7 linked regions of the Canis lupus familiaris genome follow. The protein of the gene in region 6 purifies or fractionates together with the protein of the main gene of each other region. This does not show direct contact. Links are inferred from orthologs where the notes say so. Each region holds a gene or a part of one and is shown on either strand. Other genes may lie near its edges. The genes, in order: MTA1, ZNF512B, CDK2AP1, HDAC1, MTA3, CHD3 and SMARCB1.

What was found.
Region 1: the proteins of CHD3 (region 6) and MTA1 purify together in Homo sapiens (affinity purification with western blotting; 7 studies listed by BioGRID and IntAct, with this or other methods). This does not show direct contact. The link is inferred for Canis lupus familiaris from reciprocal best matches to the Homo sapiens genes CHD3 and MTA1.
Region 2: the proteins of CHD3 (region 6) and ZNF512B purify together in Homo sapiens (affinity purification with mass spectrometry; 3 studies listed by BioGRID and IntAct, with this or other methods). This does not show direct contact. The link is inferred for Canis lupus familiaris from reciprocal best matches to the Homo sapiens genes CHD3 and ZNF512B.
Region 3: the proteins of CHD3 (region 6) and CDK2AP1 purify together in Homo sapiens (affinity purification with mass spectrometry; 6 studies listed by BioGRID and IntAct, with this or other methods). This does not show direct contact. The link is inferred for Canis lupus familiaris from reciprocal best matches to the Homo sapiens genes CHD3 and CDK2AP1.
Region 4: the proteins of CHD3 (region 6) and HDAC1 purify together in Homo sapiens (affinity purification with mass spectrometry; 14 studies listed by BioGRID and IntAct, counting the BioPlex papers as one, with this or other methods). This does not show direct contact. The link is inferred for Canis lupus familiaris from reciprocal best matches to the Homo sapiens genes CHD3 and HDAC1.
Region 5: the proteins of CHD3 (region 6) and MTA3 purify together in Homo sapiens (affinity purification with mass spectrometry; 4 studies listed by BioGRID and IntAct, with this or other methods). This does not show direct contact. The link is inferred for Canis lupus familiaris from reciprocal best matches to the Homo sapiens genes CHD3 and MTA3.
Region 7: the proteins of CHD3 (region 6) and SMARCB1 purify together in Homo sapiens (affinity purification with mass spectrometry; 3 studies listed by BioGRID, with this or other methods). This does not show direct contact. The link is inferred for Canis lupus familiaris from reciprocal best matches to the Homo sapiens genes CHD3 and SMARCB1.

The regions. Positions count from the first base shown.
Region 1 is NC_049229.1:73,159,648-73,164,142, forward strand, and holds the start of MTA1 (metastasis-associated protein MTA1), read left to right. Parts: upstream 1-1,598; 5' UTR 1,599-1,741; coding exon 1,742-2,153; intron 2,154-2,614; coding exon 2,615-2,682; intron 2,683-4,495. UniProt on the Homo sapiens protein: Transcriptional coregulator which can act as both a transcriptional corepressor and coactivator. Acts as a component of the histone deacetylase NuRD complex which participates in the remodeling of chromatin.
Region 2 is NC_049245.1:48,272,431-48,276,321, reverse strand, and holds part of ZNF512B (zinc finger protein 512B), read left to right. Parts: intron 1-160; coding exon 161-259; intron 260-344; coding exon 345-515; intron 516-749; coding exon 750-944; intron 945-1,197; coding exon 1,198-1,299; intron 1,300-1,607; coding exon 1,608-1,670; intron 1,671-2,174; coding exon 2,175-2,273; intron 2,274-2,600; coding exon 2,601-2,848; coding exon of another isoform or gene 2,849-2,852; exon of another isoform or gene 2,853-3,254; coding exon 3,255-3,312; 3' UTR 3,313-3,891. UniProt on the Homo sapiens protein: Involved in transcriptional regulation by repressing gene expression. Associates with the nucleosome remodeling and histone deacetylase (NuRD) complex, which promotes transcriptional repression by histone deacetylation and nucleosome remodeling.
Region 3 is NC_049247.1:6,510,024-6,514,653, reverse strand, and holds the start of CDK2AP1 (cyclin-dependent kinase 2-associated protein 1), read right to left. Parts: upstream 2,887-4,630; 5' UTR 2,673-2,886; coding exon 2,618-2,672; intron 1-2,617. UniProt on the Homo sapiens protein: Inhibitor of cyclin-dependent kinase CDK2. Also acts as a component of the histone deacetylase NuRD complex which participates in the remodeling of chromatin.
Region 4 is NC_049223.1:68,298,388-68,301,304, reverse strand, and holds the end of HDAC1 (histone deacetylase 1), read left to right. Parts: intron 1-79; coding exon 80-188; intron 189-282; coding exon 283-413; intron 414-692; coding exon 693-845; intron 846-1,359; coding exon 1,360-1,408; intron 1,409-1,682; coding exon 1,683-1,710; 3' UTR 1,711-2,297; downstream 2,298-2,917. UniProt on the Homo sapiens protein: Histone deacetylase that catalyzes the deacetylation of lysine residues on the N-terminal part of the core histones (H2A, H2B, H3 and H4).
Region 5 is NC_049238.1:34,445,844-34,449,734, forward strand, and holds part of MTA3 (metastasis-associated protein MTA3), read left to right. Parts: intron 1-1,264; coding exon 1,265-1,416; intron 1,417-2,414; coding exon 2,415-2,637; coding exon of another isoform or gene 2,638-2,660; exon of another isoform or gene 2,661-2,767; intron 2,768-3,891. UniProt on the Homo sapiens protein: Acts as a component of the histone deacetylase NuRD complex which participates in the remodeling of chromatin.
Region 6 is NC_049226.1:32,947,302-32,951,768, forward strand, and holds the start of CHD3 (chromodomain-helicase-DNA-binding protein 3), read left to right. Parts: upstream 1-1,612; 5' UTR 1,613-1,637; coding exon 1,638-1,908; intron 1,909-2,004; exon of another isoform or gene 2,005-2,086; intron 2,087-4,467.
Region 7 is NC_049247.1:28,807,238-28,811,128, reverse strand, and holds part of SMARCB1 (SWI/SNF-related matrix-associated actin-dependent regulator of chromatin subfamily B member 1), read left to right. Parts: intron 1-543; coding exon 544-681; intron 682-2,634; coding exon 2,635-2,762; intron 2,763-3,891.

The sequences.
Region 1 (4,495 bases), on a different chromosome or scaffold from region 6:
ACCCGGGATCGAGTCCCACGTCGGGCTCCCGGTGCATGGAGCCTGCTTCTCCCTCTGCCTGTGTCTCTGCCTCTCTCTCTCTCTGTGACTATCATAAATAAATAAAAAAAAAATTAAAAAGAAATAAAAATAAAGAGAGAGAGAACACAGGGAGAGGGAAAGGGAGAGAGAAGCAGAAGCAGGCTCCAGGCTGAGCGTGGACCCCGACGTGGGGCTTGACCCCGGGGCCCCAGGATCGTGACCTGAGCCAAAGGCAGACTCTCAGCCCACCACGGTGCCCCTGAGCCTGATTTTTTTTTTTTTTAAGATTTTATTTAATTTATTCATGAGAGACACAGAGAGAGGCAGAGACCCAGGCAGAGGGAGAAGCAGGCTCCACGCAGGGAGCCCGACGTGGGACTCGATTCCAGGTCCCCGGGATCACGCCCTGGGCTGAAGGTGGAGCTAAGCCGCTGAGCCCCCCGGGCTGCCCGAGCCTGATTTCTTTAGGGCACAGGGTTGCCTGTTTGTCTGCAGGGAGCTCGGGGGTCTGCGTCTGCCCAGCGCGGGCCCCGTGTCACCTGAGCCGTCAGGCAGCGGCGCCGGGAGCCCCCTCCTACCCAGCTCTCGCTCACTCACCCTCCGGGTCTTTCCTTTGTCACCCTGGCCTGAGGTTGATCCCCTTACTGGCTGTTTACACGAGTTCATTTTTCCTCATTATGCTGGTTTTTGCTCATCATCTACCATCTTTTTGCTTTGCGTGTTTTCCCATCTACCAAAGCTTAACCCACCCGTCTCAGGCGTGCAGGTCTGAATTGTGGGGAGCACATGCAGGGGTGCAACTGGCGGCTGGGACGCAGCCCCGTGCCCCCCAGCCCCCTGCCTGAGCAGGGATCCTCAGAGCCGCATGCAGGGCCGGTGGGGCTCCTCCTGGGTCGTGTCCAGTGTAGACTGCATGTGAATAACAGCTTTGGTTTATTTACTTATTTTTTTTTAAAATAGATTTTTTACTTATTTATTCATGAGAGACACAGAGAGGGACAGACACAGAGGGAGAAGCAGGCTCCACGCAGGGAGCCCGATGCAGGACTCGATCCCGGGGCTCCAGGACCACGCCCGGGGCCAAAGGCAGCGCTAAACCGCTGAGCCACCCAGGGATCCCCGACAGCTTTGATTTAATTGGTTTTTTGGTTTCTTTGGATGAAAGCTTTAAGACCAATAGGGCTTTATATTAAAACTGCTCTTTTGAGCGACAATTCACGTGTGATAAAATTCACCCGCTCACGAGGCGTACGGTGTGGCCGCGGTCTGTGTTCAGAGTGTTTCCACTGCCGTCAAGCCGACCTCGAGCCCGTCGATGGCCCCCTCCCGTAGAGCTCTCTTCCCCCCCAGCCCGCGAGCGTGGCCCTCTGAGCCCGGCAGCCCTGTTCCCTCTGGGCTGTTAGTGCTGTTGCTCTTTCGTTCCGTGGAGCTCTGTGGGTGCCCATGGCCGCGTCCCATCCGGCTGTGGCCTCGGGCAGCACAGGTGAGCCCCCCCCAGCAGCACAGGTGCGCTCCCTCCTACAGTATAGGTGAGGACCCCCCAGCATAGTGAGCCTCTCCTGCAGCACGGGTGAGCCTCCCGCAGCAGCATAGGTGAGCGCCCCCATCTCCCTGCAGCATAGGTGAGCTCTCCTCTGCAGCACAGGTGAGCGCCCCCCCCCAAGCACAGGTGAGCCCCCTCAGGTGCCTGCAGCAGGTACACAGCAGCAGCAGGTGCCAGATGCTTGCTGGGGCCTCTCCACACGGTGGAGCGGTAGGACCTCTTGAGAGGACGGAGCTGGCCTGGGTCCTGGGGCAAGATCTGTGCTCCGAGTGGCCCTTTGGCTGTGTCCCGGCTGACACGGGCCTCTTGCAGGCCTTCCCTGGGGCACGGGGGACAGCGCGGGGCACCCCTGCTGGGGACTGCAGCCTGGCCTCGTCCTGGCACCGAGTCACCCGCAGCTGCCCCGAGCTACCTGCTATATCACGGCGGCGGCCAGGCTGGCAGCTGGGTGGCCTCCCGGCTGGCCTGGGCTCCGTGGGAGCCGGCCAGCCGCCCCCGTGGGCCTCTTGGGAAATCCCGGGTGCCTGCCAGCCTCCTGGGGACCGATCCCAGGCTGCTCTGGAGCCGGAGGCGAGCTGGTGCCCACATGGTGTGCTGGGGACCTGGCGGGCGGTGGCGGGACCTCGTTCCTCTGGCACCTGACCCCGTCCGCACCCCCGAGAGCCCTGCCTCTGCCCAGGGAGCCCCGGCCTCCTCCGTTCCCTGCCCGGGGCGCGTGGGGTGGGGGGGCAGGTGCAGGCGCCCGGCAGCCCCTCGGAAGCTGTCCTGGGGGAAGCTGCAGTCCGGCTCCCACAGCGTCTGCGCGGGGCAGGGGGCGGGGCGTGTGGACCCTCTGCCCGGGACAGCCCCCTCCGTCCTCTAGGACCCGTGCCCGGCACCCACCAACATGTCTGGGTACCTGTCTGTGCACTAAGGTGGCAGGGGCACCGTGTCCTTCGTTCCCTCCTGTTCCCTGGCCCCTAGAACTGGGCGCGGGTGTGAGGGGGGTCGGGGCTCCCCTGGTCCCCGGGCTCAGTGCTGCGGGGTGACGCACTCTGTTCCTGTTTGCAGACTACGTCTATTTTGAGAACTCCTCCAGCAACCCGTACCTGATTCGCAGGATCGAGGAGCTCAACAAGGTACGTGCATGGGGGGGGGCGCGTGGTGGGGGGGGGCCGCCCGGGGCTTCAGGGCCGGCCCCAGACCCTTCGGTGGCTTTGTTCCCGTGCCACACGCCTACACCTGGGTCCTTCTCCTTGGAGAGCTCTCCGTGGGGTCCCTGTGGCGGGTGTGCTCTGTGGGACAGGGGCGCCCTGTGGGGTCCCCCTGGCCGGGGTCTCCCCGCCCACCTGCTGCCTCTGCCTCTTCCCGGCTCACTCAGGCCCCTGCCGCCCCGCTCTGGGCCCTCGCAGCCGCCCCCCCTCCCGCCAGCCTCCCGCTCTGAGGCGCCCCCGGCAGCACTGGGGAGAGGCAGGAGTGTCCCTGCGGCCGTGGAGTCCCTGGCCCCGGAGCACCTGTTGTCCCCGACTGGCTGTGCTCCGTGAGGCCAGTCCTCAAGGGCTGCTCTCCTGGACCCCGAGCACGGCAGCGTGGCTGGGCATCCTTGGGACCGGCGGGCTGGGGGCGGAGGTCGGGGTGCTGGTGCTCCACGGAGCAGACTGGTGGCAGCCGAGCCCCGACCCCTGTGCCCCCGTTCCCGAGACTCCTGCGCAGCATCTGCCCGGGGGAGGGGGTGCCCCCAGGCCTCCGCTGCACACAGCGTGTGGGGCTGGTCCTTGCAGCCTGGCAGCTCCTGGGAGGCTGGGCCAGGTCTGGACGCGGCAGGGCGAGGGCAGTGACCAGGACGCTGTGGGGCCACCTCCCGCGGGTGCTTGCTGGGGGAAGCTGCCCACGGCCCGCCCGGGCAGCAGGGCCAGCAGGGCACGGGGTGGGCATCGGCTCGGGAACACATGGGGTCGGGCCCGCGACTCCAGTGAGCGGTGGGGAGCGTGGCGGGGGAGCCGGGGGCCCACTGCTGGGCTGGCCGCGGGCAGTGGGTCTCGGGTGGGGCCAGCACAGCCCCTGCCCCTCGCTTTGGCTGTGACGTGGAGAGGGCAGGTGGCACCACCTGTGGCAGCCTGCAGGTGACGGGTCTGCACGGCAGTGGCCACAGCCCGCCATTGGAGCGCTCGGGGTGGGGTCGATGGGCGTCTGCGTGTGAGCCTGCAGCCCCCTTCAGTACTGGGGTGGGGCGGGAGGGACCCTCTGGCCCCCGCAGCCCGCCTCCCCTGCTGCCCGGGGACCCGGGGCAGTCCCGGCTGGGGCCGCTGGGAGCTCGTTTTGTGGGCCCTTCCCTGCTGGGGCCACCCTGCCCGGAGCCCCCAGGCCCCCAGGGCCCCTTGGGCACAGGAGAAACGGCCCCGAGGGTCAAGTCCCCGGAAGTCGGGGCTCGTCTGGGCGCAGCTCTGGCGCAGGGCGGGGGCGGCAGCTGGCTGCGGCCCCTGAGCTCCCGGCTGGTCACCCGGCGCTCCCCGCCCCCCCACCTCTCTCGTGTCTGCTGAGCTCTTCGGAGGTCCTGGAAGGCGTCTGGGCGCTGGCGGCCTCCCCGGGGGCCGGCGGGGCAGGGGCACCGACTGCTTGCTCCAGCCCCTGTGGTTCCAAGGAGGGCGCCAGCGGGGAGCCCCGCGCAGACCCCCGCTGAGCAGGGAGCCCGTGGGGCGCGGCCCCGTGACCCTGAGGTCACGACCTGGGCTGAAATTGAGAGGCGGCCGCCTGACCAGGTGCCCCCGTGGCTGCTTCCAGTTCTGATGGGGAACCAGGCCCCTGGCGCTGAGGTCTGCCCAGCGGTGCGACAGAGGCCTTGATCCACCCCAGGGGTGCTGGAAGGTGGGGCCCAGGGGCTGTGGCCTTTCCAGCGTCCGGACGTCCACCAGGTTCTGGTCCTGAGCGAGCAAGGCCTGGGGGAGGGACGCA
Region 2 (3,891 bases), on a different chromosome or scaffold from region 6:
TCCCCCCACCCTCCCTCCCCTGACCACTGACCTTTCATCGCCACGTGGCAGCAGAGCTCGCTGGCTTCCGTGGTGACCTTGGACATCTCAGGCCCTGACCCCGGGGCAGGGGCCGGGGCCCTGTGGTGGTGGGGATACTAAGGCTGGGCCTGCCCCCCAGCCCTCTGACGCTGAGGCCTCGGAGGGGAGTGAACAGGAGGAGCGGGAGCGGCTGCGCAAGGTGCTGAAGCAGATGGGGAGGCTGCGCTGCCCCCAGGAGGTCAGTGGGACGGCCGGGGGCGGGGCTCGCGTGGGATGAGCCGCAGCAGCCCCCCGGCTGGCCACTCACCCAAGCCCGACCCCAGGGCTGCGGGGCCGCCTTCTCCAGCCTCATGGGCTACCAGTACCACCAGCGACGCTGTGGGAAGCCTCCCTGTGAGGTGGACAGCCCCTCCTTCCCCTGCACCCACTGCGGAAAGACTTACCGCTCCAAGGCCGGACACGACTACCACATGCGCTCGGAGCACACGGCCCCGGTGAGCAGCCCGGGGCCTGGGTCCTCCTGTCCCTTGGGCCCAAGCCTGTGTGTCTCGTGCCACCTGCCGTGCGCACTCTCCCTTCTTTCCTGGGGGCCACAGGCGTGGGGACTCGGGAGCCTTGGACCCCGGGGCCTCTGTGTTTGCGCCTCGCGGCCCATGCCCTTGTGCCTGTGCGCCTGCGCTCCATGCCCCGTGGCCCCTGCTGCTCACCCTGGCCCCTCTGCTCTGCAGCCACCCGAGGAGCCTGAAGACAAGCCCCCCGAAACGGAGGACCTGCTGGGGGTTGAGCGGACTCCCAGTGGCCGCATCCGCCGCACGTCGGCCCAGGTGGCCGTGTTCCACCTTCAGGAGATTGCAGAGGATGAACTGGCTCGAGACTGGACTAAGCGGCGGGTGAAGGATGACCTGGTACCCGAGACTGCCCGGGTGAGCTGCCGCCGGGTCCCCGACTCCCGTGTCTGAGCAGGACGTGGTTTAGCTCAGGGTCTCCCCTGTGATGGCCCTGCCCCTGTGACCTGGGCCGTTGGCTGACCTTCCAGGTCCAAATCCCCATTTGCGGAGGGCACAGCCGAGGTGCTCAGAGCCGCTGGGGCTATCCGGCCTCAGCTCTGACCTGGCGCTCGGGGCCCCCGTTACATAGGCCCACGGGGCTCACGCTGGTGTGCGTCTGTTCTTGTAGCTCAACTACACTCGGCCAGGCCTCCCCACGCTCAACCCCCAGCTTCTGGAAGCATGGAAGAATGAAGTCAAGGAGAAAGGCCATGTCAACTGCCCCAATGATGTGAGTTTTGGGGTGGGCTGGTGGGGCGGTGTGAGGGCACTGGGATTCAAGGACAGAGAGCCCAGGTGTGACCCTGGGTAGGAGGAGGCTTCCAAGTGACCAGCTCACCTGTGACCTGCAGGGCCCTTAGATGGAACCCCATGACCTTAGCCCTAGAGGTCCAGCCTGCCCACAGCTCAGGCTTCCTGGGGCCGAGCCCTGCACTTAGCCCAGAGAAGCCCCACATCCCCCCGGGTGAGGGGTGCGTGTGCATTCGTGCGGGGGCATCTCCTGGGAGGCGCTCTCCCATGGCTGCCTCCTGTCCCCAGTGCTGTGAAGCCATCTACTCCAGTGTGTCCGGCCTTAAGGCTCATCTCGCCAGCTGCAGCAAGGTCAGTGCCCTGGCCCGTTCCCGTGGTGGGTTGGGTGCTCGGCACTCCTAGCCAACCCCTAGAGGTCCCCACACATTGGATGTGTGACCCTACCCCCGTGGGGCAGCCTCCTCCATGAGCCCAGGGACCGCCCAGCGCCTGGTGGCCAGCCCTGCCCAGGACACTCCCGCTCAAAGTTGTTCCGTCCACAGGGGCTCCTTGTCCATGTGGGTGTGAGCACTAACTTGGGCTTGGGGTGAGGGGCTGTGCCCTGGAGCACTTGCCTCTTCTCATTCTCTCCTTATCCGTCACCTTTCCTTAATGGTGGCAACTCAGAGGTCCTGCCACAGAGAAGCTGTGTGGGTCCTTGAAGCCCATCCCCATGAGCTGTGGCTTCCCCGACCCTATAGCTACACAGGTGCAGGAGGAGGGGCAGGTGCCCTGGTTGGGTCTGATGCTTCTGGTCCTGCAAGGATTGGGGGTGGGGTCCAATGTCTGGTGGCCGGCCTGGCCCATGCTTTGCAGGGAGACCACCTGGTGGGGAAGTATTGCTGTCTGCTGTGCCCGAAGGAGTTCAGCTCTGAGAGTGGCGTCAAATATCACATCCTCAAGACCCATGCGGAGGTGGGATGGGCTGGGGGCCTTGCTGGGCCTGGGGCAGATGGGCTGACCCCACAGCGGGGAATGGGCCAGGGTGGGAGTGGCGGAGTAGTCACTTGTGTGGCCTTTGAGGGAGCAGCCAAGGTTAGGAGAGCTGGTGGTTTCCCTTGAGAGCGGCTGCTGGCTTCCCTGGAGGAGCAGAGAAGCCTGGGTGCCCTACCCCCGTGCCCTGCCCGGGCGGCACGCTTCACGTGGGTGCCCTGTCGCTCAGCCGCCTGAGCCATCTGTCTGGCCCCAGGACTCAGCACTCTCCTGTCCCCGGGTCTTCATTGTGGTTTCTTTCCTTTCCAGAACTGGTTTCGAACTTCTGCAGACCCACTTCCCAAACATAGGAGCCAGGACTCGCTGGCACCCAAGAAGGAGGAGAAGAAGAGCCTGGCGGGTGGGAAGAAGCGAGGCCGAAAGCCCAAGGAGCGGACCCCTGAGGAGCCTGCACCCAAGATGCCCCCCCGTCGGGATGACTGGCCCCCAGGAGGCAGAGACAAGGGGGCGCGGGGCTCCACTGGCCGGAAGGCGGGAGCCAGCAAGGCTCCTGAGAAGTGAGCGTGGTGGCTGGCAGGTGGGTGGGGCCCGGTCCCCACGCTGGACGCCAGGTCCACTGCTGAGGGGGGTAGCTGGCTCCAGGACCTCCTGCCCTCTGGGTCTCCACCCCACACCCACCTGTTCACCTGCCCGGTGGAGGCAGCCAGCCCCTCTCTCTTTCCCGAGGATGGCCCTTCCCCCGTGCAGGCTGTGTAGGGCACACGTGGCGGGGTCCCTTAGGGGAGGGCCCGTGGCAGCCACAGAAGTGCAATAGCGTGGAGGGGCGCTCACGGGCTCGGCAGGGTCTGGGGCCCTGGACGGGCAGGAGGAGGGTCTGCAGCCCAGGCCTCGGTGCCGCAGGGCAGCGCAGGGCGGGCAGGTGGCCTTCACCGTGTGAGCTCCGTGCCCCGTCTGCTTTCTCAGGCCCAAGGCTTGGGGGGTCCTTGGTGACCCGCGGTTCTGGGCTGATGAGGGCACCTGAGCAGCCTCACCTCTCCACCCGACACTGGACCCCAGCACCCCCAGCTACCTCCCAGGACAGGCCCCGAGGCTGACTGCTGCCGTGCTGACCTGACGGCCTGCCCCACCGTGGCCTCCCTCGTCCTTCCGCCTCCGGTTCCTCTGCTTCTGTTCTCTACCTCTCCAGGCCCTCCCCCTACCTGTGCAACCCCTGCTGCGCTTGGGCTCCCGCCCGCTGGCCCCTGGGCACCATGCTGGGTGGGGGTGGCCCTGTTAGCAGGGCACTCCGCCATCCCACGCCCGTGGGTGCTCCCTGCCTGGGACAGGGGGAGGGTCCTGCCCTCACCTGCAGGGCTGCAGGAGGGGGGCCGGGGGCCATGTGGAACACAGCTTTGCCCCCAGTCTCTGGCTTTGTTGCCACCACGGGTCTGGGTCGGGGCAGCCCAGTGGGTTGGGGATGGGCCAGTCTAGGCTCCGGGGTCCACCTGGGGCCCACAGGCATGTGGGGTGTGGACCTGGGGCCCAGCTCCGAGGAGTAACCCTGTGGGAATCAGCCTTCCGTGTGCTGGGCTGGGTTGGCTTGTGGCTGAGCTCCCGTGGG
Region 3 (4,630 bases), on a different chromosome or scaffold from region 6:
AGACAAGGGCGTGGACCAGAAGGCGGTCTGGCTGTGCCACTCCTGGCTGTGTGACCTTGGATGAGGCCCTTCCCTCTCTGGGCCTCAGTTTCTCTATCTGTTTGGGGCAATGATTCCCAACACAATGTCTAAAGGCCTACATCCCACTCTTCCATGGGGCAAGGGTTAGGTCTTGCGAGGCCAAGGGAGAGGGAGGAGAAATCTCCTGGTTTGGGTCGGGTAATAGCTCGGGGCTTGCCTTTCCCATCACCATGTGATGTGGTAGGTGACCCCAATTCCGTGTCAGTGCCAGTCCCTTACTCTTTGTTGAAAAGGCGGGGGGGAGATGTGGCCCTGGAGAGAGATGGCAGAAGGGCCCTGAGTTCTACTCATGCCCACGCACTTCGGCAGACACAGGGAGGGCCAGAGCATGAGGCTGCAGGAGGCCAGGGAGAAAACCAGACTGGGCGTGAGCACGACAGTCTCTGAGCATCACAGACAATGCACGCAGTGTGCAGGGACCAGGGAGGGCCCGAGCCGAGGGAGGGATTGGCAGAGGCCAGCAGCTCCTGGGGCCAGGCGCAGCTCCCCGCCCCCACGCCAGACAAAGAGCGGCCTGGGCCTGGGGAGCTGGCGGCCTTCCCGCCACTTGGGGCGCCTGGGGGGGGGTGTGCTCTCCGGCGGGGAGGCGGGGGCTTTGTCTAACTCCGCCACTGCCACCGCCGGCCAGGCCGCGGCTTGGCAACCCGCGAGCAGGAGGCAGGGCTGGAGGGCGTGAGGGATGATGACAAGGAAGCCTGAGGAGCGGCAGCGCAGAGTCCATCTTGGATGCAAATGGCAGGGGGAGATTGGGGCTTTGTAAAGGGTCCGTGGGGAGGGGCACAGCCCCCCTCCAAAAAACCCACCAGCTTCTGGGGACCTCAGCAGTACTCCTGGAAATCACCATAGAAGAAAACCCATGCGCAGGTGCCAGCCAGCCAGAACAGGGCTTCAGGGGTCCTGAGTGGGTGCCCCTGTCACTTGACCCCAATCCCCAAAGGTCCCAGCGTAGGGCACCTGCCTCCACTATACCAGGCCAGGCCTGAGATCTCCAGCGTGTCCAGGCTGGCAGGAAGACCTTCCACTCTGCCCACCTCAGAGACAGATGAAGCAGGCAAGGAGAAATCCTACCTGGGCCACAAAGTCTGCCTCTCTGTAAGGTCTGCAGACCCCAAAGGAGGTGGTGAGAACATGTGAGAAAATAGTGGCTGTGTGTTCTTGGCACGCTGATCCCAAATTTAACGAATTCAACTATACCCTCACCGGCACCCTGAATCTTAACTCTTTCCAACCCCCAAATCTGTGTCCCAGTAAGTTAAAATACATACATTATATATATATATATATATATATATATACTTTTTTTTTTTTTTCTGGGTCCCTCTTCAGATTTTTGGGATTATGGAGTTACCGTTTGGAGACAAGGCCCAAAACTTGCGGCCAACTGCCAACGTGGCATTTCTGACCAGCAAGGCCAATCCCCTCCCCCACAAGGCCTCTCCCCTCCCCCTCCGGCGCGCTGGCTCCCTGGAAGTCTATTTCCAGCGCAGCGTCTGAGGCAGGGAGAGCCGGGCTAGGGGCGACGCCGGTCCCGCCTAACGTCGCCGTCTCGCGTCCCCCCGACGCAGGCCTCCCTGATCCCTGGGGCAGGCCCCTGGGCACGGATTGAAGCTGGCTGACAACTTCGGGAGGAGTTTCCTGGGCTCGCCGGGCTCCAGCCCCCGGGAAGGGAGAGGACGCCCCTGCAGCCCGGCTCCCGCGGAGGGGCTTCCAAGCCCAGAGGCGGGGGCTCCGGGGCGCGGGGTCTGGGCTGGAACGCGCCCGCCACTGCCCGCGGCGCCCGAGCCCCGGTGCCCTCAACTTCTGTCAGTCGGCGCGCGCTGAGGACCTCGGGCGGGCGGCGCTCTGGGCACGGCGGCGGCGGCGGCGGCGGCTGAGGCTGCGGCTGAGGCTGAGGCTGAGGCTGAGGCTGAGGCTGAGGCTGCGGCGCCCGAGCCCCCGCCGGCGACCGGGTCCCCCGCAGGCGCTGACCCCGGCGGCCCCGCGCCCTCAGGGCGCCCGCGGCCCGCAGCCCGCCCGCTCGCCGCCCCCGCCCCGCCCCCGCCCGGCCCCCGCCCGGCCGGGCCCCGCTCGCACGCCCCCGGCGGCCGCCCCCCGCCCGGGCCCGCGCCCCGCGCCCCGCTCCCCAAGGGCGCCCCGCGCCCCGCTCGCGGCGTGGCCCGGCTGCTCCCGACTCCCGCCGGCAGGGGCCCTCGCCGAGCCGCCCAGAGCCGGAGGAACAAGCAGAGAAAAGCCTCCCCCGCCCTCGCCCGCCGCGCTCCCCGCGAGCCCTCGGCCGCCGGCGTGGGGGGCCCCCGGCGCCCGCCCGCGCCCCCGGCCCCCGCCGAGCCCCGCCGCGGCCCCGGGCGCCCCCGCGAACTTTGGCGGCGCGGGCGCCGGGATCATGGCGGCGGCGGCCGCGCTGCCCCGGGCCGGGACCCGCCGCCCGGCGCCCCCGGCCGCCGCGGGCCCCCGAGCGCCGGGCCGGGCCGGGCGCGCCGGCCCCCAACTTGGCGGCACTCGGGGCGCGGCGCGCGGGCCGCGGGGCGCACTCACTCACCGGCGCTGAGGGAGGCGGCGGGCATGTGCGCGGCCAAGTTCGGTTTGTAAGACATCCCCGCGAGCGGCGGGGCGCGCAGGGGCGCCGGGGCCAGGCCCGCGGGGGCGGCGGCGAGGCGGCGGCGAGGCCGGGCGGCGGCGAGGCGGCCCCCGCGTCCGGGCGCCCGTCCGTGCTCCCGCCGCGCTCCCGCGCACTTTTTGTTGTTGACGGCTCGGGCCGCACCGGCAAATATGGCCGTCCCTCACCCTGACACCGCTGCAGTATATCACCCATACATCGGGCGGGCGGGCGCAGGGGCGGCCGCAAACTTTGAGCGGAGCCAGCGGGGCCGGCCCGGGCCGGGAGGGGGCGGCCCGGCGTCAGGGGGCGGCTCCGCCCGCGGCCGCGCCCCGCGCCTCGGGCCGCGCTCGGCGCCCGCAACTTGGCAAAGTTTGGGGGGCTGGGTCCGGCGGCGCCCGCGGCCCTCGTGGGCCCTTCCTCGGGGCTCTGCGCCCGCGGACTCGCCGTCTCACCGCTTCGTCCCTTGCCCCCTCTCTCTTCTGAATGGCCAGGTGGGGTTTCAGAATCACTTTTTTTCCCCCTGGACTGTGGGGGCAGGGATGGAAAAGTACCTGGAGAAAATGGTGGCGACTGGTATTTTTGAGCACGTAGATCATTCCAGATGCCGAGGTCTGGCCAGTCCCCAGAATAAGAACAACCAATGCTCGGCATGGATTTCAAATAAATTTCGTGTCCCTGTCTGGATTAAGCGGGTTTTGGTGGTGGTGGTGGTGGTGGCGGTTGTTGTTGTTGTTGTTGTTGTGTTTGTTTCTTTTTTTTAACCCCTCGGGGGCCTACGAGGCTCCTTAGAGATTTACAAAAGCCAAAGGCCTCTTCCCTGGAAAATTAATTCACTCTTGTATCCACGGAACTCTACCTCTTAACTCCTTCAGATATGTAAGAAGCTACTACTTCGTGCCTGGCACCCGTCCAGGCGCCAAGGATAGGAGAATGAACTTGACCAAGTTTCTACTCTCCTGATGTTTGCATTACAATTTTTTTAAAAAAAAGATTTTATGTATTCATGAGAGTCTCGGAGAGGCAGAGACATAGGCAGAGGGAGAAGCAGGCTCCCAGCTGCCCGCGCGGGATGCGGGACTCCATCCCAGGACTCTGGGATCACCACCTGAGCAGAAGGCAGATGCTCAACCACTGAGCCACCCAGGTGCTACCCCCGCCCCCTGCCTTTTTTAAAGATTTTATTTATTTGAGAGAGAGCACAAGTGGGGGGGGGGGAGGAGCAGAGGGAGAGTGACAGGCAGACTGCTGAGTGCGGAGCTCAATGTGCAGCTCCGTCTCACAACCCTGAAATCATGGCCTGAGTGGAAACCAAGAGTTGGCCACTCAACTGGCTGAGCCATCCCAGAGCCTAGCATTACAATTTTCTATGCTCCTTCCACCCCCACCCCTCCCGCCCATCCTCAGGTCTGACTGAGACATATCAGCAAATATATGACTTTGATTAGATGACTAAGCTTTTGAAGGTAACTTTTCTTGGAGTTCCACTTAAATAGTAAAGCTTGTCAAAATACAAAAGATATGGGGGATCCCTGGGTGGCTCAGCAGTTTGGCACCTGCCTTCGGCCCAGGGTGTGATCCCGGGGTGCGGGGATCAAGTCCCACATTGGGCTCCCTGCGTGGACCCCGATTCTCCCTCTGCCTGTGTCTCTGCCTCTCATTCTCTCTGTCTCTCATGAATAAATAAAATAGAATAAAGGAAGTACAGGTGATAAACCCCTTCCCAGCTTAAGCAGAACTACCAGTGATCAGCTTTAGGCTTGCTCAGCCAAGGATGCCAGTCAAATTTTATTTTGTGAATGAATTAATACCAAGCTCTCCTACAATGCCCCAGGGGCTCAAATACTCTAGAGTAGCATTGTCCAATAGAAATATAAAAGTGAGCCCTATACGTAATTTTAAATTTTTTAGTAGTTTAGAAAGTAAAAAAAAACTGGCAAAATCGATCTATTTAAT
Region 4 (2,917 bases), on a different chromosome or scaffold from region 6:
CAGACAAACCTACAAATGCTTTTTTCTTGGGGTCCTGTGGCAGCCAGGTCTCTTGACTCCTATCTCCTGCCCCAATTAGAGCTTCCGTACAATGACTACTTTGAATACTTTGGACCAGATTTCAAACTTCACATCAGTCCTTCCAATATGACCAACCAGAATACCAATGAATACCTGGAGAAGATCAAGTGAGTATATCCCCATGCACCCCCTGATTGAACATTCCAGGCTCTGGTTTGTCCCTAACCAGAGCCCAGCCACCCTCTCTACCATTGGCCATAGACAGCGACTGTTTGAGAACCTGAGAATGCTGCCCCACGCACCTGGGGTCCAAATGCAGGTGATTCCTGAGGATGCCATTCCAGAGGAGAGTGGCGACGAGGACGAAGAAGACCCTGACAAGCGCATCTCTAGTAAGACCCAGATCCGGGGGCGGTACCTTCCCGTTCAGTAGGTAGCTCTGGCTTCCCACCCCTGTTCTTGGTTCCATGTTCCTCCTAAGCTACTCATCTGTTGAGAAACCCATGTTCTAGTTCTTGGGACAATTTAGGGAGTCTGAGTTTCCTTCCCCTCTTCTTAGTCACCCCCTTCCCTTGGTGTCTCTTGGAGGACACACAGGGAAGCACTGGGCACAGACCTTGAGGTAAAGCTGATCTCCTGCTGTCTCACTTACATTTCCCATTGCCTCCCAGTCTGTTCATCTGACAAACGAATTGCCTGTGAGGAAGAGTTCTCGGACTCTGATGAGGAGGGAGAAGGTGGTCGTAAGAACTCTTCCAACTTCAAAAAAGCCAAGAGAGTCAAAACTGAGGACGAAAAAGAGAAAGACCCAGAAGAGAAGAAAGGTGGGTTTGGGTCATGCCCAGACTTGGGTCTTGAGCCCCAGGCCCCAGAGGAGGATGAATGTATGTAGGGCTCTAGGAGGGAGCTGACTCAGGCCCTGCCTTCTGTTGGGGTTCTGCCTCCACCCCCAGAAACAGCAGGACCCACAAAAGAATGAAATTCAATTTGTTATCTGCACTGGCCGGTTGAGCCCTGCCAGGCTCCAGAGCCAGGGACATGCCTAGTCTCCCCATGGTCAGGAGTGTGGCTCTCACACACCACCCAAGCCCCTTTCCCAGTGCTTCACCCCAGGTTCCCAGGGGGCTGCCCCCGCCCACCGGGTTCAGGCACTAGCAGGCTGGGAAACCGGTCCAACCTGTTTGTTCTCTGCAGGGCTCAAGGGGGAGGGCCTGGGATGGGCTTTTCTCTTTTGTATGTCCAGTGAGCTGTGTTGGGGAAGGGGGTTCAGCCTAAGTGAAGATTCCATGGGTCTTTCTGGAGGGGAGCCTTGGCCATCCCTGCACTCTTATGTTCTAGAAGTCACAGAAGAGGAGAAAACCAAGGAGGAGAAGCAAGAAGCCAAAGGGTGAGGAAGGAGCTGTCGGCCATCTCCCTGGCATTGGAGCACCAGCCCCTTTGTCCGCCCTGCCGAGGGAGGCGCAGGGACAGCTGGTGCAGCTTACAAAGACCTCTTTCAGGGACCAGTCTGTCTGTCTCTGCAGTTCTAGGCAGAGCTAGGAAGCCCCAGCCCTCGGCAGTCACCTGGGCAGCTGGGGTCCTATAGAAGTCATTGTCCCCGTATTTTTGCCTCCAGGCCTCTGGGGCACGTTATCTCATGCCAGTCTCTGCTCTCTCCACAGGGTCAAGGAGGAGGTCAAGTTGGCCTGAGCAGACCTCTCCAGTTCTGGTTTCCTGCCAAGTTCCCCACCTTTCTCCCACAACCCCTCAGATTTTATATTTTCTATTTCTCTGTGTATTTATATAAAAATATATTAAATATAAATATCCCCAGGGACTAGACAGGAACCAGGGCCCTGAGCCTAGGGCACACATTATGAGTGAGCTTTTCTAGTGGCTGCCTCGCCACCCATCCTTCCCCAGTTCTTAATTTTGAACCATAAAGGGTACCGGTTCTGGAAGGCATGCTTTTAAGCAGCCATAGGACAAAATCCAGAAATGCCAAGTGCCTGCTTCGTAGCTTTGGAAAGGTGCCCTCATTGAGCATTCTAGGAGTGGCTGGGTCTTCTGGGACCCTCCCATCAGGCTCCTTAAGGTAACATCAGCCATTTTTAGATTGGTTCTCTTATCATACCTTCCCACTGGCCCCATGTGAGCCAAGGAACTCACTGCCTGCCCTCTATCCTTGCCCAGTTCTGCAGGTGGAGATTGATAAGTCAGGTATCCTTTTTTGAGATACTATTTTCATTTTCATGAGAATCTTTGTAATAAAATGGTACATTTCTACATCCTCCTGAGCTTGTCTCCTAGCAGTATCCCTGGGTTGATTTCAACTCCACTTCCCTGCCCTTCTCGTGTCCAGGAGAATCTGGGCAACTCCATGAACAAGGAAACAACCCCACAAACTTAACCTTCACCCTAATCCCTCCCACAAGGGTTGAGGTTAACCGATCTTCTCACCCTACCCCCAGAAGACCACTCATTAAAAAGCACTACTAAAGGGACGACATTTATTCCTTTTCCAAATGTTACAGTAAAACCAGGTGGAAGAGAATGGTTTTAGCAGTTAGAAAAAAAAAAAAAAGTACAAATCTGGGGTTTGGCCATTAAAAGTTATTTACAACAATGGGAGGGGGAAAAAAAAAGACAACAAGAAGTTGTTTCACATTACAGACCTCCCCCCCACCCCAAAGCCTAATACTTGCTTACCAAGTCAAAAAAGAGACACAGTCGATTCACAAGCTGGAGGTTTGAACTTGAGTAAGACATTTATAAAAACCTAGACAGGGGCAGTGTCCTCCCCAGCCCAGGTGCCACTAGGCACAGCACAAGAGACTAAAAACTCAACAGAGGGGAAGGCTGGACACTCGGGTTTGGGAGTGTAGGCACCCCACATCTGGCTCAGGGATTTGGGGAG
Region 5 (3,891 bases), on a different chromosome or scaffold from region 6:
ATTCTTAAAATTGTGTTTAAAAAAAATCAACTTATTTGACTTACTGTTTTAAATTATAAAAGGAAAGTTTTGGGGGCTGCTGTTAGCAAGGAGTCTACCAAAAATAATACACGATGGGTGCACAGTATTATTCTCAAACTAAGATGCAGTTTGATTATAATGGCCAGTATATTTTCTCTTTTTGACATTGGCTTGTGAAGTGTTAGTTGACACCTTGATGTGCTCTTTGAACACTTTGACCTGACGAAGTTAACTTATAAATCAGGGGGAAGAGTATTCCAAGGGAAATATACAGATTATAATAATTTATACATACCTCATTAACTTAATGTTTTATGCCATCATTTCCTATCTTAAACTTCAGATCCATTGTAGGAAAACTTTAAATGCAATATGGGAGCAATTCAAACTGCAGCAAAACTGATGAAGGCTTGCAGTGTTAAGTGGTAAATCAGCCAAGTTATTAGGTCTTAAGCCTTTTGTGATCTTGGCTGCATATGCTCCCTTGATCTGGACTTAAATAGTCTTGAAAGGGATTCTGTTTTTAAAGGGAGAAATACTAAAATGATTACTTTGTTCATTTATCTATTTCTGACAGATTCCTACCTTAATCAGTGGGGCCTCTCTGAGCACCTTAAACTCTGGGGTAGTTTCTGGACCATCAATTTGGAGATTTAGACTTAAAACACTCATATAATAATAATAATACCTTTCTGGGGCAGCCCGGGTGGCTCAGCGGTTTAGCGCTGCCTTCAGCCCAGGGCATGATCCTGGAGTCCCGGGATCGGGTCCGGCATCGGGCTTCCTGCATGGGGCCTGCTTCTCCCTCTGCCTGTGTCTCTGCCTCTCTCTTTCTCTCTCTCTCATGAATAAATAAATAAAATTTAAAAAAAAACTTTCTGATAACTTATTTACAGAAATGTACACAATAGGGGGTATTTTTAATGAACAAAACTCCCTCAGTAATAGCACAGCATATTATATAAGATACTTCATCTAATAGCTTCTCTTAACAGGAGCCACAGGTTTGCTCTCTTGCTCTCTCGTTCACTATGAGAGAGAGAGAGAGAGAAATGGTTTAATGAACCCTGCATCTTGAAAATACATGTATATTAGACTTTTATGTTTGGTGAACTGCAGAAAGAAAAATAACATTATAAACTAAAGATTACTTTGGAATATCTTTAAAATATTTGATGGTATATGTATTGATGTTACAAATTATATAACACTTTGTCTTTTCATATTTTTCCTCTGTCTTTAGCTACACAGTCTCATCAGTGGTATTCTTGGGGCCCACCTAATATGCAGTGTAGATTGTGTGCAACCTGTTGGCTCTACTGGAAAAAATATGGAGGCCTGAAAATGCCCACCCAGTCGGAAGAAGAGAAGTTATCTCCTAGCCCAACTACAGAGGTATATGAGCAATAGTCTTTGACGTTGAGAAATGTCATTTTAATGGCTTGATCACTCCTTGGAAACAGAAGTACAGTACAGGATAACTTAAAAGCAAAAAATAAAAGCGAACAAAGCTGTTTTTTTATAACTAAACATAGCACCATAATATTTAAGGTGGGTGTGGAGAGAGGGCAGGGACAAATCAAATTTTTTCAGGTATTCAAAATATTGTTCTTGTGTGATTGCTCAGACAAAAGAACAATATGTGTGGGAAGTGTTAACATAAGTAGAGAGCTTACAAATTAAATGATTTAATTGCTTTTTGGGAAACAGTTTGCAACCTTTAAATACTGTAAAAATATGCCTTACTACATAAAGTAATAAACATAAACTGAACATTTTTCTGTCCCTGAGCTATCATAGGAGGAACAAGAAGGTGATATGGACTCAATCTTGAGATAAACAGTTGAAATAGGATTTTGGTAAAATTCTCAGATTGCAGATATAAGCACCTGTGTCGACCAGAGGGAGACTTCTTTTTAAGGGCTAACAGGATCTCAGGACTCCAGCACTATTAAAAAATAAGATAATTTCATTAACCCCCTTGGCATTTTTTTTTTAAATGTGATTTTGGATTCTTAAGGTCAATGTCCATTTAAAAACCAAAGCATAGGAAGGAGTGCACTTGTGATGAGCACAGGGTGGTGATGGATGGAAGTATTGAGTTACTATATTGTATACCTGAAACTAGTATAACACTGTATGTTAACTACCTGGAAGTAAAATAAAAACTTTGAAAAACAAAAATATAGGATCACACATCCTCCTACCCCTACACAGTTACCTTCTCTACTCCCCTACCCTCTTTCCGAAAGTGCATACTTCTAATTTCTTCTTTGGGAGTAGGGTATTAACTTCTAGATGCTTCAGTGGAAAACTTAAAAATTGCCTTTTCTTTGAGCCTGATACAAATAGCATTCTTTTCTTTACATGTCTGTTGGTATCTGATTTTGCAGGACCCCCGTGTTAGGAGTCACATGTCTCGCCAGGCCATGCAGGGGATGCCAGTCCGAAACACTGGGAGCCCAAAGTCTGCAGTGAAGACCCGCCAAGCTTTCTTCCTCCACACTACATATTTCACAAAATTTGCTCGTCAGGTCTGCAAAAATACCCTCCGGCTGCGGCAGGCAGCAAGACGGCCGTTTGTTCCTATTAATTATGCTGCCATTAGGGCAGAATGTAAGATGCTTTTAAATTCTTAACCTTATGTGTTGTGCTTCTGACCATTTTCTCTCCTTCCCTCTCTTTTTTGTTTTTTTTTTTGTTTTGTTTCGTTTTTGTTTGCAATAAACATAAGTTCTTGTGTACAGCCTTTTATTTGGTTTATTTTTTTTAACATTGTTTTTGTCTGCTGCCATTTGTATCATGCCAACCTGAAAAGGAAACACTGGAACCTCTGCAGCCCCTCTGCAGAGAGCATAGTACTCAGCAGAGAATTGGTGGGAGGCGCCCTTATTCAGAGAGGTCTTGTGATGGGACTGCCCGAGAACCCTTATGGGAAGGCACTTTCACCTGTAAGGTCATGCCGAGATGTAACCCCTAAGGATGGTGTCACAGTGAAGCCCCATAGATGAGACATTCAATCTGCTCTTACGTGCCTTCATTAGGTTTGAATAAAATTTGCCAATTTACACTAATTAGAAATTGCATGTCTTTGTAAACCTCTCATTTTCCCATGAACCTTTTATAATTCTACAATATTATGGAAATTCAGAGTGCTTCATAACAAACACTACAGTAACTGGAAAATGGAGCAAATTATAAATGGATTTTAGTGTCTTTGGGTGAATTTTCTGAAAATACATATTTAGTTCTTACAGGCTAATGACCAAATTTATGGTTGAGCATTCTTTCTATTTGTCTAATTTGGTTTCCATTTCATTATCATACATATATTACCGCATAACATATACATAATTATTACTCTCATTTTCAACATGTTCAGTCTTGGCTTATGTTTCATTTTTTTGTTGTTGTTAGAACAAAGGTCATATGTATCAGTGAATTGTGGGTTGTTCTGTTATTACCATGTACCCCTAAAATGTGTCCATACTTTGTGTGCCAGCTCTGATTCTAGTCTTGCTACGTTTAGTCACATCCCTGACTGCCATGTTAGAGCCATGCAACTTTCTCCCCTAAAGGAGAAAACTTGCTGTCTGGCTTAACAGAGAGGAAATCTTATAGACATTTAGTAGATGTTTTTTCTTTGTGAGAAAAGAAATTTTGCGTTATGAGATGTTCCATTTTGATTTAAGAAGGGTATCTCTATAAGGAGTGATGATTGAAAACTTTTTGTTCCTAAAGATAATTTCAGCAAAACGGCTTGAAAGGCTTTACAACTTACAGGTAAAAGCTTTATAAGGAGAAGAAAAGTGCTTTGTAGAGAGAGAGTGCAAAATGGCAGTACTTTCTGAGTCTCACGGAGGAGGGACT
Region 6 (4,467 bases):
ACCGGGGTACAGTGAGAAATCCCAGGCAAGCCCAGTGGAAATGCCAGGGGGACCCCTACCTCTGTCTTCTCCTCAGTCCCAGATACTTTTGTATCTCACCGTGCCTCAGTTTCTTCCACTTTACCACTGTCGGAAGACCACGGAGACAGGGGAACGTACTGCAATGGGAGAAAAGAGGAGACAATTTCACAATTTTTCAGACTTGACTCCCCTTTATTCTAAAAATCTGTACTCCTGGCCCCCTAAATTCATTTCCCAAGTCAGATGAATTTTCTAGTCGAGGCAATCGGGGGAGGCGGGGTCGGGTAAGGGGGGAGCGAGTAAATCAGAAAAGAGTGCAGATAAAATTTACAACAATTATAAATCACTGAAAAGCCTGGGCAAAGGGGAGAATCAAACATGGACTCCTTTGAAGAAAAAAAAAAACCTCAATCATCGTATCTATTCATATCTCTTCCCCCCAAAAGTCACTAGGATTTCTGTCACTTTTTTTTAAAAGAAAGGGGGGAAAAATCCAGCCCCGTGCCTCACTTGGACGGTACGTACACAATTAAATGCGTTTTGACTCCAGCGAGGTATGTAGAAACAAGAGTTATATATAAACATATATTTCATCTTTTCCTTTTCAATGCCTGAAGGGGAAAAAAAAAAACCTTCACATCAAACCACTCCCTTCTGAAGTATTCAGAAAAAAAAAAAAAAAGCTTTTCTTTAAGAGAAGGGAGGTGGGGAGGAAGAGACTAGTAAAGAAAAGAAAAATATTTAAATCTAGTTGGACTAGTATCTAACTAGTTAACCTTTAACAATTTATGCTGATGTCAGACTGAGCATGAGTACTGATTAATGCCCCCCCTCAAATATTTTTATGGGGGGGGAGTTAGAAAGAGCAGCCATTTTTGTTTTATGCAGAAACCCTTCGTGCCCCCCCAACGCGCACACTCACACACACTCACACACACACAGTACACAAGGAAAATATCTCTATTAATCTGTGCACTAATCAGTTATGAAAAAAGGGAGAAATTTGTGGGTTTCTGGGTAGAGGCTAGGAGATGGGGGTGTAACAGGGAGGAGAATGGGGGGGTGAAAACTGAAATATTAAGCCAGCCATTTTGTTTTAAAAGGGGATTTTTCCCCCCTCTCCCTTTCTTCATGGAGGGGGTGGCGGTGCTTGGGGGGGGGTTGTTTTAAAAATAATTTCAAGGCGGCCATCTTACTGCCTCAGCTCTGAGAAATATTTCTGAGCGCCCCCCTCAGAATTTAAATATATTTAAAGCAACGGAGAGGGGGGCAGAGAGAAGTCGAAAACTTTTATATATATATATATTTTTTAATCCCCCTTTCTCGTTCTCTTGGGAGGAAGGGGAGGGGGGGAAAGTCTCTCAATTTTTTCCAAGACAATTTTTGGGGGTGGTTCGGCCCCCCTCTTCAGCCGGCGGCCCCGAGGGGGGGTTCTGGAGGGGGGTGGCCCGGGGGTTTGGGGGGCTGGGGGAGGCGGTGGGGAGGAGGAGGAGGACGCCGCCGAGGAGGAGGAGGAGGAGGAGGAGGAGGAGGAGGAGGAGGAGGTGGTGGTGGTAGCGGTGGGGGAGGCGGGCGGGCGGTGGGTGGGGGGGTGGTGGGGGGGCCAGAGCCACAGGATGGCTTCCCCTCTGAGGGACGAGGAGGAGGAGGAGGAGGAGATGGTGGTGTCGGAGGAGGAAGAAGAGGAGGAAGAAGAGGGCGACGAGGAGGAGGAGGAGGTGGAGGCGGCCGACGAGGACTACGAGGAGGACGACGACGAGGGAGTGCTCGGGCGCGGGCCGGGCCACGACCGGGGCCGCGACCGCCACAGCCCCCCCGGCTGCCACCTCTTCCCGCCGCCGCCGCCGCCGCCGCTGCCCCCGCCGCCGCCGCCGCCCCCGCCGCCAGGTAAGCGGCCGCCCCGAAGCTCTCCCCCCGCCCCCCACCCCCCGGCCCGAGCGGGAGCCGCGGGCGCGCGAGGCCGGCCGGGGGCGAGGCACCCACCGCGCGGCCGAGCCGAGGTGAATCCGGGGGCGCGGGGCGCCAGCGTCGGGCCCGGGGCCCCGGGCGGGCCGGGCCGGCGGGCGGCGGGCGGCGGCGGCGGCCGCGGGGCCAGGCCTCTTCCCCTCCCCCGCCGCACCCCTCCCCCGCCGCCGCCGCCGCAGCCGCCGCCACCGCCGCCGCCGTCGCCGCCGCCCGGGCTGGAGAGCGCTGGGCGCGAGCTGCGCGCGCGGACCGGGCCACTCGGTCGCGGCTTTCGGGGGAGGAGGAGGAGGAGATTTTTTTTTTTTTTACCCTCGGCTGGGAGGGGGTAGGCAGGAAACGGCCGCGGCGAAGCCAGGGCCCCCTCCCTGGCCGAGCGAGGGACCGCGGAGACCCTGGCGGCCGGACGGCGGCGTGGAGGAGGGGCGCGTGGGGGAGGGGCGGCCGCGCGGGCGCCCCTCGGGCTCCCGCCCGAGTGGGGTTGCACTGAGGTGACGGGGAGTTTCCGCGCGTGGAGCGGACCGCGGGCCTCACCGCCCCCCCTCAGGGGCGGGGGAGGCGGGGGTGGGGGTGGGGGCCAGCGTCCCTGGGACCCCCCACCTTCGGGAACCTGGGCGCCCGCCGACTCCCCGGGGCGCGCGGTGGCGCGTGGGGGAGAGGTCGCGTGAGCGCCTGCGGGCGGCGGGTGATGGGGGGCAGGTGGTGGCCGCACTCCACGCAGACCACTTCCTGGACTCACGCTTAATCCGCCTCAGGGCGCCCCCTCCCCCCCCCCCGTCCTAATCGGGAGAGCACTCCTTGAAGGTTGGGGAGCGCGGGGAGAGTGTCTGTGACCAGATGCCCCCAACTCCACCCCCTTTATCAGCACCCTGCTCCAGGCTCTTTTGTGTCAAGTGCGAGCCCCCTCCCCCCCCCCCCCCGCCGTGTGACCCCGTCAGTCTGGGGTGGCCGAGCTGCCCAGCTGTGACTCTCACGTGGCTGCCATTCACTGTCACTCTCGCTGAAACCACCCGCACCTTGATCATGCCGGGGAATGGGGGGGCGTGCACTGCCCACCCAGCTGTTCTGCAGCTTGACCGTCACTCGGCACCCCTCCCCCGGGATGACAAGTCCTCTGGCGCTCTCTGGGCAGTTCCACCAGGGCTGGAAGGGACTGGGACAGCCTGCTGCCTGGAGTGGAGGGGGGGCGGCAGCAACGGCCCCCCTCAGACCACCCTCCTAATGCAGTGACTGCCGATCTTCTGGAGGACAGGGGAGCATCCTTACGGTGCTCGCATCTTTGGGGCTGGAAAGGGGACATCCACACCCCCAGGCCTCTGGGAGCCCTGTAGCACGAATGCATCAAACTTCAGGACGTCTATCTTTGTAAAACTGTCACATTGATCTGTGTGGCTTATGTGGCAACTGTTCCTGTTCGGTTGAGACAGCCTTTGAGGAGTATGGGGTACCTTCTTGGGGTGAGGGTGGTGGAGGGTACGTGTCTGATGGAAACGGGGACACCTCCCCTCCCCAAGCTTGTCTGAAAAAGAGAAAAGTTTTCAGAAAGTTATCCCAGAGAACCCACGAGGTTTCAGGAGGGAGGAGGAATAAAGGATGGTGGGGAGGGGGTGCCTGGAACCCAGCTGATGTGCTAAAAAGAGGGAGAGAAAGGATGTCAGGTTGTGTTGCCCCGCGGACAGTTCTCACCTATTTGTAGGGCCAACTTGGAATGTGGTGTTTATGCGTTTTTGGTCTGAGATTTGGGAATGTAAGAGAGGGGCATGAAAGAATCTGAGGTCGAGGTTGGGTCTTTTGTGTCAGTCCTCCCTCCCCACTTCCCCTCTGCTCTCTCAACAGCCCAGAAGAAACGTCAAATGTTTTTAAAAAAATTTGTATCTGAAATGAAAACCCACCTCCTCCCTCTTCCAGGGCGATCGTACCCCCCCTCCCCCAGTCTTGAGGCCCTCCCAAGTCAACAGAGTGACCCAGATGCACTACCCCCCCCCCGGACTTTCTGAGGCAAAACTTTGAGAAAAATATTTTTGGTCCGCTCGTTATTTCTGTCTACCTAGGTGTGGGCAAAATAAGCCTCCTAGAAGGAAATGTGTGCGGGCTGCCCTCCCTCATCCTTCTCCAGAATATGAATTCGCACATATTAGAGGTCTATTGTTTTTCATCCTGACTGCTTTGATTCTCACCATTTTGTTTTACATTCTTACCCAAGACCAATTTTATCCCTCCCCCCCTTCTCGGCTCCTTACGTTGTAAAACGTTTAAAATAATAGCACTCATGTTGGTGGGGGAAGGGAGCAGGAAGCCAAAAACTCATTTCTTCTCCCTCCCCCTTCTGGCAAGTCTCGAGAAATAATATAACATAATATATAGATGTGATTCCTTGGGGGTGGGGGTGGGGAATGATTGTGGGTGGTGCGGAAAATTCTGGTAGTTTCTTTGCAAAAGGTCTGAAAATACAAACCCACCCCCTGCCTGCAGTACGCATGTGCA
Region 7 (3,891 bases), on a different chromosome or scaffold from region 6:
ATCCCCCAGCCACCGGCCGAGTGCAGTCAGTTCTTGAGGAACATGCCAGCCGCCACAGTGGGAACCCTCTCCATGTCCTGCCTCTCCAGCCCCAGCCCTGCCTCCTCACTCTTGCCACCTGTGCACTTCCTGAAATGCCCTTCCCATTCCAGCTCTTCCCCTACTCCCGCCCCCAGTGAGCCCCAACCCAGGACTTAAGGTTCCACTCCAGGGTTTGCTCCCCTGGGAAGTCTCCTCACTCGCATTCCTCACAGAAAGGGTAGGGCTTCCATGGAGTCATGCCTAGCACATTCCGTGTTATACTGGGACTCATGCACTCCTGTGACTGCGGCCTCTCTGCACCCTTCCTGTAAGCCAGGTGCCTCTGAATGGATGCCATGGGAGCCTGAGGAGTACACGTGCAGAATCTGGGGTGCTGGGGGGTCACCACGGACCACTGGAGCCTGCCAGGGGTGCAGTGGGTTTCCACAGACCGTGACTTGGAATCTGATGGCCAGTATTGGGCTCCAAGACTGAGCAGGGACATTTCTCGCATCTCCCCAGGGAACAGAAAGCCAAGAGGAACAGCCAGTGGGTGCCCACCCTGCCCAATAGCTCCCACCATCTGGATGCTGTGCCCTGCTCCACGACCATCAACAGGAACCGCATGGGCCGGGACAAGAAGAGAACCTTCCCTCTGTGGTGAGCGTGCCTCACTCTCTGCTGATGCCGCCTTAATTTTACCCTCTTCCCTGCCTTGACTTTATGTTCCCCCAAACACTATGCTGCCTTCTCGAGACTGTTCCCTGTCGGCTTTGGGGACAGCCAGTCTCTGGCTTTTGCTCTGGCTTGCTCCAGCTTGCTCTGCCTTGCTCTGCCTGCTTCAGCCTCGCTGCTCTTGCCTGTTTCCCCAACGCCTCCAGGTTCTCACAGTTCTGGGGACAGGAGTTCAGTGCAGCAAAATCAAGGTGTCAGCCGGACCCTGCTCCCTCTGGAGGCTGGGGGGGAAGGCTCTTCCTGCCTCTTCTGGCCTCTGGTGGCTGCCAGCATTCCCTGGCTTGTGGCTGCATCACCAGTTTGTGCCTCAGTGGGTCACAGGGCCGCTTCCTCTATGTGTAATATTGCCCGGTCTTCTCCCAAAAGGACGCTTATGATGTGATTTAGGGCTACTTGCATAACCTTCTCCTCTTAAGATCCTTAATTATATTTGCAGAGTCCCCCCCACCACCGCTACCACCATATAATGGTCACAGGTTCCAGGGATTAGGACTAAATTTCTTTTGGGGGGCATTTTCAAGTTCACCCCCACTTTTATCTCTGCAGCCTGCCCTCACCTCTACACACTATCCTCAGGTATCTGTCACACACTGCTTGCCAACTTTTTGAGTCTAGGACACAGTCCTCCCTCCTTCCTGCCCTCAGGCCAAAACCCCAGAACTCTTCTCCTGCACACTCCTGCCTTCTTAGCCTTCCAAGTGTCCGGAATTGGACCGCCTTTGGCCAGCTCCCCCTCAGATGTGGGCTCCCTCGCCCAGGCCTGGAGTCCTCATAGTGGCCGCCCCCGTCTGGTTTCCTCTCTTACCGCCCTCACCCTGCGTCAGGCACATGAGCCTCCTCACTGCCTTCAGAGCCACCCAGAAGCTTCTGTAGTTCCCTCGGCCGAGAGCTCATTCCTTGCCAACACCTGCACCGCTGACCCCTTCTCCCTCTTCCTTCCCTTTCTCCCTTTCCTTCCCATCAGTGTTTGAATGTCACCTCTCAGAGCTGCCTACCCCTCTTTAGAATGGCCACTCCTGTCTCTGTCTCCTGTCGCTTTCCCTGTCATGTTTCCCAGAGCACTGCTGTCTGGCATACAGTGTGTTTTCCTCATGTTTGTCATCTCTGCCACCCCACCCCCCACCCCCACCCCCACCCCCGCCGAGCAATTCTCAGCCCTCCGTATTCCGCAGACACCCTTAGGTTCCCAGTGCCCTCCTGCATACCCCTGCCCCCCTCACCACCCCAGCCTCTTTCCTCTGTGTCTTCCTGAAATACAGATATGACTGCATAACTGCCTTGCTCTGGGTTCTCCTGGAGCTCCCTCGGGGTAGAGGCTGGATTCCATAGCCTGAGATGGAGAAGCATGGGTACTTGGACACGTGTAGCTTCTCTGTGTCCCCGACAGTGCTCCTTCCCTCCTCCCAACCTGCATCCCACCCTCAGTGCTCTGGCTCTTGCTCCCCAACAGCTCCTCACCACTCCTGCCCCTTGGATTTGGTTAAGTATTTCCTCTTCTGAAAATACTCTTCCAAAAAAGAAAAAAAAGAAAAGAAAATACCCTTCCTTACCTACAGTTTTCTGTGAAAGTTCTACCTGCTTTGGGGCTTAAATCTCGCTTCCTCTGGGGTACGTCTAGGTCATACCCCACTGCCCAAGGCCGTAGCTCCCTCTCCTTCCCTGAGTGTCCTTGAAGCCTGGAACTCTGCTCCTGTGGCTGCAGGACCCCTGCTTGCCTGGTCTCCCCGCTGGCTCAGCCCTTAGTTAACAAGTCACCATAAGAAGTGGGTTTCTCCCTCTGGCCGAGTTAGCAGTGACAGTAGTGCAAAGAGGGAGGGAGGCCCTGAGCGTGGAGACCCATGGCACCCCTTGCTGACTTTGCTGCCACTTCACTTCCAGCTTTGATGACCACGACCCAGCTGTGATCCATGAAAATGCATCCCAGCCTGAGGTGCTGGTCCCCATCCGGCTGGACATGGAGATCGATGGCCAGAAGCTGCGAGATGCCTTTACATGGAACATGAATGGTATGTGGGAGATTGGGGTCTGCGCAGCCCAGGCCCAGCTGAAGTGTGAACAGTCCTTTTTCTTGCCTCCTGCCTGTTGGGATCCTGGACTCTGAACACGACATTCAGAGCTTTGTGGCATAGATTGTTAGGGTGTGGACTCTGGGTTCAGATCCTGCTTCTGCCCCCATTTCCTGTGGGTTGGGCATGTGAGCCTCAGATTCCTTCCTCTCCTAGCGAGCTTGGGCAGGTCAGGGGCCAGTCAGGATGCAGCCTCTCTATCCAATGAGCTCACGATGACTTTGCTGCTACTCAGATCAGATCAACGCATGGCCCTCTACCCACCTCGCATTAGCTCTGTCCAACCCTCTAATCTGTCATGATGCCGTGTGTGCACGTGTCATACCTCTCTCATCCCAGTGAGGTCTACCCTCCCTTTGTCTGTTCTTCCTTTTCCCATTCTCACTCTGTAAGTCCTGGGTCAGATGCCTGCTCTTCCTGGTTCCCAGACCCTGAGCATGACTTCATGCTCAAGAGAGCATACTCTTCATGAGCAAGAGAAAGCGTAGGAGACATTTTCTTTTTTTATTTTTTTTCTAAAGATTTTGTCTATTCGTGAGAGACACAGAGAGAGAGGGGAAGAGACACAGGCAGAGGGAGAAGCAGGCTCCGTGCAGGGAGCCCAATGTGGGACTCAATCCCGGGTCTCTAGGATCACACACTGGGCTGAAGGTGGCACTAAACCGCTGGGCCACCTGGGCTGCCCAGGAGACATTTTTCAGAGTGTTTTGTCCTTATCCCATTCAGGAAGGAGGATTGCATATGTGTTTATTTTTTCTTTATTGTTTTCCTGAATCAGACTTTTTAAAACAGATTATTTATATTCAGACCAAAACCAAAGAACAGCAATGAAAAAAGCCCCAGTGAGTATAATTTTTAAATGAAGTTGAGAATCTCCAGAATCTCAGCGTTCCTAATAATAGTTTCCCTGCCAGTCATTTGGCACGTGCAAAGATATTTAACAGAGTTGTAATTATAGTGCAAGTATAATTTTATTTTTCTTCACTTATAAGTATCCTCCTGGTTTCTTTGGTCTTCATAATTGGCACACAATTTTCTGTTGAGTTGTAGTGCCTTCTTTTGCTAAAAC